Linked DNA regions of Oreochromis niloticus. The protein of the gene in region 1 purifies or fractionates together with the protein of each later gene. This does not show direct contact. Links are inferred from orthologs where the notes say so. Each region holds a gene or a part of one and is shown on either strand. Other genes may lie near its edges.

Evidence for each region.
Region 2: the proteins of hspa12b (region 1) and eef2k purify together in Homo sapiens (affinity purification with mass spectrometry; 3 studies listed by BioGRID and IntAct, with this or other methods). This does not show direct contact. The link is inferred for Oreochromis niloticus from reciprocal best matches to the Homo sapiens genes HSPA12B and EEF2K.

What each region holds. Positions count from the first base shown.
Region 1 is NC_031967.2:9,944,711-9,948,633, forward strand, and holds the start of hspa12b (heat shock 70 kDa protein 12B), read left to right. Parts: upstream 1-1,079; 5' UTR 1,080-1,553; intron 1,554-2,939; 5' UTR 2,940-3,366; coding exon 3,367-3,511; intron 3,512-3,923.
Region 2 is NC_031973.2:9,895,237-9,899,159, reverse strand, and holds the start of eef2k (eukaryotic elongation factor 2 kinase), read right to left. Parts: upstream 2,508-3,923; 5' UTR 2,231-2,507; intron 1,684-2,230; exon of another isoform or gene 1,655-1,683; 5' UTR 1,644-1,654; coding exon 1,395-1,643; intron 881-1,394; coding exon 815-880; intron 1-814. UniProt on the Homo sapiens protein: Threonine kinase that regulates protein synthesis by controlling the rate of peptide chain elongation.

The DNA.
Region 1 (3,923 bases):
AGAGGAATGACACGCAGGGGTTCCTTCCTGTCACCTGACTCCATCACTTCCCGCGCTCAGTTTCCTGCGTCTGAATCTCGGAGGAGAATGGTGAGGCTGAGGAAAGGGGCAGCGGACCCAGAGCGAGGCCCCTCTTGTAGATCTGATGATGATCAGGATGAAGCCGGCTGCTAAACACAATCAAAATGATGAAAAGCGCAGATCTGAAATGTTACCGCCCGACTGCTGATGTAAATGATTAGAAAATTAACCGGAGCAAATGAACGTGGGCAAGAGATCAAATGAAAGGGATTAAACAAAGAAAGAGTGTGCTTTAAATGTGGGGGGAAAACATCTGCATGAAAAAAGGCAATAAAGAGAAAGAGAGAGGTGATGGCAGGATCTGTATGGGGCCTCTTGGTTTTTGGGCAGCAAAGGGGAGGCGTGCCAGGTAATGGTTTCCAGACACACACACACACACACAGTTGCACACTAGTAAGCCTACACTCTAATTCGATTTGGAAATCTGACGGGATAAGGGGTGTATATGTGGATGTGTGTGTATATACCTTGGGCCATTTTTCCTTCTCACTTCTTGCTTCTTCTGTGCATTGGGAGAGGGCCCGGTTAGTCACAACGTGTCGTCTGTGCGTAGGTGTGTGTGTATGCAAGCACGAGGGGTTAATGTATGCTTTCCATCACAGCTCTAGTGGGGAGAAATCAGATCCCTGCAGCGCAGAACTCAACCTCAATGCATGGACGGACACCCAAAGCATAAGAAAAAGAGAAAATTGTCCCGCCCCTTATACCTGTATGATCTGCACGCCTGTGTGAAGAGGTTAAGAAGGCCAGCTGCAATATCAGTGAAAGTGCAAAGATATGAGAATGAGAATAGAAATAGTACAAAAAAAAGAAAAAACAGAAAAAGATGAAAAGAAGAGCAAAAAAGGAGACAGGAAGAGCTAATTAAACTGTGGAAGGATAGATGTGTAGGAGCCGGAGGGAGGCGAGAGGGCGAGATGACTTAACTGTTCAAAATGACTCCACCCTCAGTCGCCAACGCAAACGGCAATTTCCCATTGGGGTAAATCCCCCACCGTGCCCTGTCACAGCCCTCCTACTTCTGCAACTGGTGTATGCGTGTCTGTGTTTGCATGTGTGTGTGTGTCACCACTTTTCTCTGACATTCCTGTGCAGAGCAGGGAGACGGTGAGCTGAGCTGCAGAGAGGCTGAGCTGCAAACCCAATTCAGAAATCCATTCGAAAGCAACTGAGGATTTTCTTTATGTTTTCCAGTCATTTTTCTTGCACAAGCCATCATTTTCTTCCGATTCTGGAATTCCGGTTTCAGAGAATCTGCCAGCAAGTCAGCTGGGACGAAGTCTTCCATTCTTAACACGGGATTCCTAGAAAAGCATCCTCTCGTTTCCTCCTCTTCCCTTTTTCTCTCCATCGCAAACCCCTGGAGATAGATTCCAAGTTTGCCAAGTTCCAGAGTTTGGGAATATTGTTGTGCTGCAGCCAGGAGAGGCTGAAACAACAAGGGGCACAGAGGAGAAAGCAGCACTTAAAGGGTGAGTTCACTTAAAAGATCAAGCTTTTTTTGTGGGGTCCAGCTCTTGTTGGCATAATGAGGTTGATTACTCTCTGAAGAGGAATGCAATAATCCTTCTATTCCGAGCTAAAGAACTTCTGTCTAAGATGGCAAAATCCTGTTTGTGCAAGTTTGCATTGATTTTGAATTGACTGTCAAAGCTGATAAAGATGTCTAACATATGTTGTCAGCAGTTTCTCCTGCAGTCTAGAGACTGATAGAGCTTATTGTTAATGGTGCATAAAAGTGGAGTGTTTTGCAAAACCTGTCACTCAGGAGTTTTAGTTGCATGTTCTGCTGATCCACGGCTGGGACTCGGGTGGGTGTGAAGCATCCGCCGCACATTAGGCTTAGGAGATGATGAGACGACAGAGAGAAAAAGAATGACATTACTAAGGGGCAGGTATATGCAAAACAAAAAGGCAGGGGATAGCTGGGGAGTTTCATCCTCTTTCTGGTTTTAACATCAAATAGTGAGGACAGCTGCTGGGAAAGGAAGCGAGCGATGCACACACACGTTATATTCCAGTGTCACAGGCACAGGCTCGGATAAATGCGCACAGATGTTGCATGCATGTATGCAAAGAAAGGATGTCAAGCTGACTTATGGTCGCTTTATTCTCTCTCTCTCTCTCTTACGCACACACACTCACAAGAAAGAGATTTAAACAAACACATCTTTGTTTCATTGCACTCATCTGTTTAGTTTACTCCTGGCTCAGATCACAGTATAATCCCAGAGCTGTAATCAATACTCATACACACACACACATAGACACACACACACACACTGGCCATAGGGAAAAAAACAAAAACACACACATACAGTACTTGCTTTTTTTAGGAGAAATAAGTCAGTTCAGCAGATGCAGCATATATACAGAGCATGGAGCAGATATACTCCAGCCTTTAACATAATAACAACATATCTTACTATTTTAATCGACTCTCATTTACTTATATCATATTATAATCTTTGCTGTGCAGCTCTAACAGCTTTAAGTTTGATGCTGAAGTTAGCTGTGAATGATGGTTTGCTTTGTCCAAAACTCCCCATTTGCTTCCTATTTCTATTTTTCCAACATGTTTATGCAGCACGTAGCGCCTTCCAAAGAAGTGTCTGCGTCATGTTGTTTGGTGAACAGACCTCGTAATGTGATGCTTTGACTCTGGTATGTTGGTTTTTGTGATGGCACAAAGATCAGGAGTGTTATTACTAATAATAATCCTGACAATGACTTCCGAAAGTATCCCTGCAGGCCATAAAAGTGCACCTGCTAGTGAATTGATGGAGCCATGATATCCATGTGCCATTATGTTGAAACATGTGAATAAAAAGCTCAATTTTTGATCATTGTATCTGCAGCAGATGATAAACTACATGGACAAAATTGCAGGAGCTGCTATGCTGTCTAAACCCATGTAAGGAAGCTTAGGTGCAGAGTTTTTGTGCAAGAGGAGGTTTGGGACGGACCTTTACGCACTACGCAGCTCAGCACTCAGCAACCCCACTCTGCAACCAATTTGGAATCACAAAATAACCAAACATTTATGTGTTTGAACTGTGGGAGGACAGAATCCACGCTGGCACAAGGGAAGTATGCAAACCCCACACACAGAAAGATCTCTGCTGCCCACTGCACTCAAATCCTGGACCTTCTTCTTTTTCTGAGGCAACAGTGTTACCAGTGTGCCTGCCAGATAAAACTTTGCTTTAAAAAAGCTAATGTATTATATAAATATATCATGAAACTTGGGTAAAGTTCTTTTTCTCAGTGTTAAGAGTCAAATAGATGATAATATGTATTACAGCCGTGTTTTCCACAGACATCGTTTTCCATTCATCACGTTATCATCGGTTTGTTTCTCTGCAGACCCTGGCTCCTGTAAAGATGGCTGACGTATTGCAGCCAGACTCCAACAGCCTGCAGATACCAAGTGAGATGCACACTCAAACACTGACACGCACACACATCAACACGAGTTTGCTATTGCAGTCCTGTCCAAATGACTCACTTCTCCTTCTTTATCTGTTGGACCGTGGACATGCTGACCTTTCCATGTCCCTCTCCCACTTGGGTATACTACACACTTCACATTCCAGTGGCATTCCCACGATTCCATTCCATTCCATTACGATTATCACTTTTTGATCTAGAGAGGTCAAGTGTGTTTACATTTGACCTAATCGTCTAACCTCCACGGTGAAAAATGAGGTGTTTTCTGCAGTTACTCAGCAAATACAGTTTCAGCATGTTAGTATCAGTAGCTGATGACAGTTCAGAACCACCTCCTTTCTTATGATAAGGGTTTTCCCATAACTGCATATCTCCTTAAACAGACAGGATGA
Region 2 (3,923 bases), on another chromosome or scaffold:
GAAAAACAAGAGAGAGAAATATAAAGAGCAGAATAAAAGTCAGTTTCCCATATCAGGATTTCTCGAACACAGAAGAAAGAGGGGAAGCCCTTCCATGCAAAGCTGTTTAATCTGCACAATAAAAGCAGTTCTAAGCCAGTCTGTTCTCTTTACGCAACAATGCATGCACTGTTTTCTTGCAATTATAATCAGCTCTCTAATTGAAATCTACAATGTCACAATTTCTGCATTAGAGGGCTCTCCCTCTCAATTTAAATCGTGCTTAGGGGGTCAAAACAACCACGCGGCTCACAACGAAGCACACAAACATGAAGCAGACAATCACTGAAAACAAATACCACAGGAGAATGAATACATGGTGACATTATGAGTGGATTTCTGGGCTGTAAGGTCACCGTAAATAAAATAATTTACAGCTACCTTAAAGTGAACATGTGCAGTTTTCAAAAACATAACTTGAATCAGGTGTCACAAGTAAGCTAAATCTGTTAGCAAGTAACCCAAGCCTTGGCCCAACCTACGCTGCTCAGCAGCACGTCCTCCTCGTGCGCCACTGCTCACAGTCCAGCAGATGTCTTTCTATTTAGAGTGAGGAAGGAGCAGCACTTATGTTGAAGAGGAGCAGGCGACACGTTTATCAATTAAAAATTTTTTTTTTTTAAAAAAAGAACAAGATCCAGGAGGGATGAAGTGGTTAAAAGTAAAAGCAGGGAGAGGCAAATTAAAGGGCAGAGTGAAGAGTTGGAGGCGTGGATGGTCAGTGGTATAAAGGGAGAGAAGAAAAAAAAAAAACAAGATTTGGATCCAAACATACCCGTGCACTCTCAGACAAAACCTTGTACGGTCGATGTTCTGCCACTGTATCTGTTTCTTTTTCGTTCTATGCAAAAAAACAAACAAGAAAACGGATCCTTTATCATCAACAGGAAATGTATGCAACATCACTTTAGATAACAATTACAGCCTGGAGGCTCTGAAACAACAACACCACCACACAAAAACTGAAAAGGCAATTCATCCCAACAGTGCACAGCAGCTGTGATAAAGAGCCGCGCGCACTGAATCGAGCTTTTGTTGCAGCTCCCTGCTGATGTGGAGAGAGGGAGAGAGAGAGGGAGAGCCGTGTTTACACACATCATAATCACGAGGTGAAACCGCTCTCTGCTGCTTCCTGTCAGAAAGTACATTTAAATAAAAGGTGGGCTGACCAGCGCTTCACTCGAGCAAACACATAAACACACGTGTTGAAATACCAGACAAGCCACACAGTAGGTGTGTGCAGGCATGCGCGTATCATCACACCTTAAAAGGCAAACAGAAACATTGCAGAACTGAGAGGCGGGGATGATGCATCAGCACAACAAACTGTCATATCCCCACGTCTTATATCTCACCCTGTACATGAAGTTGGATTTAGGGAGCGAGTTTGACAGCTGCCGTGCGTAAACCAGGTTTTTAAGGTGGCTGCACACTTCTTTGGCCGAATCGTCCAGGATGGGGCAGATGAAGTGGTCTTCGTCGTCATCCTCGCTGGCGTTGGACTCGCTGAGGGAGGATGCTCTGTGTTTGAGGGCGCTCCGCTGGGCAGAGGGTCTCTTGGCGCTGCCGTCCTCCTCCATCCTGAACATGAGTTCGTCCTCCATGGTTTCTGTTGCTGTTTTGACAACAGAGTGTGAGAATGGACTGGAAGTAGGGAAAAAACAGTCACATGCAGAGTGCACAGTCAGGGAACCAGGTGGCAGCCATGTTAGTGTATGTCCAAAACAAGCATGGATCATGGCTGCACAACTCTTACACCGAATGTGAGGACTTCGAAGGGGGCTAGACCTTCACATTTGAGTTACAGCCATAGATTTCATTAAACAACACACATCATGGGAGTTCTAAGTTATCAGTAAGGCCACCAGCAATCAAAAGCATTTCATTCATTTTATCTGTGTTATCTAGCAAGTCAGTCGGTCGGTGTAATCAAAGGTTACTGTGCTGTGAGAGTTTTAAAGTAGGAGCACAGGAATGCACACCCAAGCACATGCTTCTGCAGGTTCAATGTGCCCCCCCACGTTGTAAAACAATAGCAGCAGCCATTCCTGTTTTACAACTACAGCATGCAGCAGTGGAGTTTCCTACAAAGAATCATCTTCTAATTTAATCTATCGCGACCTGCTGTTAGATATGTTATAGTAAAAGTATTAAATGACCAGCCAATGTATAATCGGATGTAAAGACACACCTCTAATCCCTCAATCTTGACAGACTGTGACAGCAAATCCAGTCACCTCGGTCTTCTTCCGTCTCTCGGTATTGGTTTGCACTTAAATAGTCAGGGCTCCAGGAGCAGGAGTTCACCCCTCCTCTGAGACCAAAACAAGAGTGGATGCCTCCTTGTTCTCCGCGGTATCCTCAAGGTCCGGGAACGTGCCTGGCGCAGGGCTTCTGTTCTTGTTCCGTCCACCACGGCGGAGGCTTCCCTCCGCACGTATCACAGTGTTCTCTGTTGGCCACGCCCCTGCGTCCTGCTGCTTTCAGGACGGTCGGAAATAGAATAATAACACGGAAATGAGTGTTTAGCGATAAGGAAGAAAAGACTTCTGACGGGTCTGAAATAGATCTGGTAAACAAATAAAAACAGCATAAGTAGCAGTGGTTAAAATTATTATCGTACAGCCAGGCCGCAAAAAAAGCAAAATTGTGTACTTTCACAGGAGTATTTGACAGCACCACGAGCTGAACAGTTTGTACCATCCTCCAAAGTGCCACTCCAAGCAATGGTTGCCTGGCTAAACAGGCCACGTGGGGCAACACGGAGCTTCATCGGGAAGCTTTACGACCGCACTTACATGGCATTTAATAGCTATAGTGCAGGTGACATGCCAAACATCCTTGCAAATATTTACTTGTATAACAGGGCTCCAAAATGGCTTTAGCCTTAACACTGGGTTAGGAGTACTAAATTTAGCTCTTATTAAAAAGATTAGCAGTGCCTTATCCATCCAGGGCTTCAATGATAACTACAAATATAATTATGTGCTCGAAGAGAGTTATTAGTATTAGTGTTAGTGAAATCCCATCATCAGTCGTATAACGTGAATAATAGGATGATGTTTCCCGTCGTATAAATAGATATGTGTCTGACGTGGGGTATCACGGTAGCGTGGCCGAGTGGTCTAAGGCGCTGGATTTAGGCTCCAGTCATTTCGATGGCGTGGGTTCGAATCCCACCGCTGCCAGAAATTTTTCTTGCCTTCTTCACCACGACAAGTATCGACAAATTGAATATGGTTTTTCTTTTTTTGGTTATAAAAACCAGATACCAGAATGGGTTTCCACTTTTTTGCTGTTGCTTATAGTCATAAAAACTCGAGGTCTGATATTGTAGTGCCATCTTGTGGCCAAAAACAAGCTTTGAGAATTTTGGAGGACACCTTAAACAGACAGTCACCCACCACCAGGACATTTGAATGTTTTTTTTTTATTATTATTTCTTTAATTTCTGATGATGTTGTGCCTTTTCTGCACCACTTTATGATGATGGAAACACCTGTGAGTAAATAAGAACATAAAAATGAGGTGACAAATGCTTCTTAGAAGCTTCTTTCATGTTTTTATTATTGCTTTTATTTACGTTTGATCAAATAAAGAAAGTCAGCGATACTAAAAGTTGCCAAAATTGTTGACAGATTGCTAAAGTTTAAGCAGTACACAGAAATATCAGCCATTTTCCAACAGAGTCCTCAATATTATATTCATTAATATAATATAAAGAATGTATATTAATGATTTAAAAAAGCATTAATATAAATTCTTACAGTCGAGAGCTGCACACATGCACAGTTAAAATGGACCAAGGTCATCATCTGTGCCCTTTGTTGTATTTGCACACATCTCTTTAATAAAAGATAATTCATAAGGGTGCAAAATAAAAT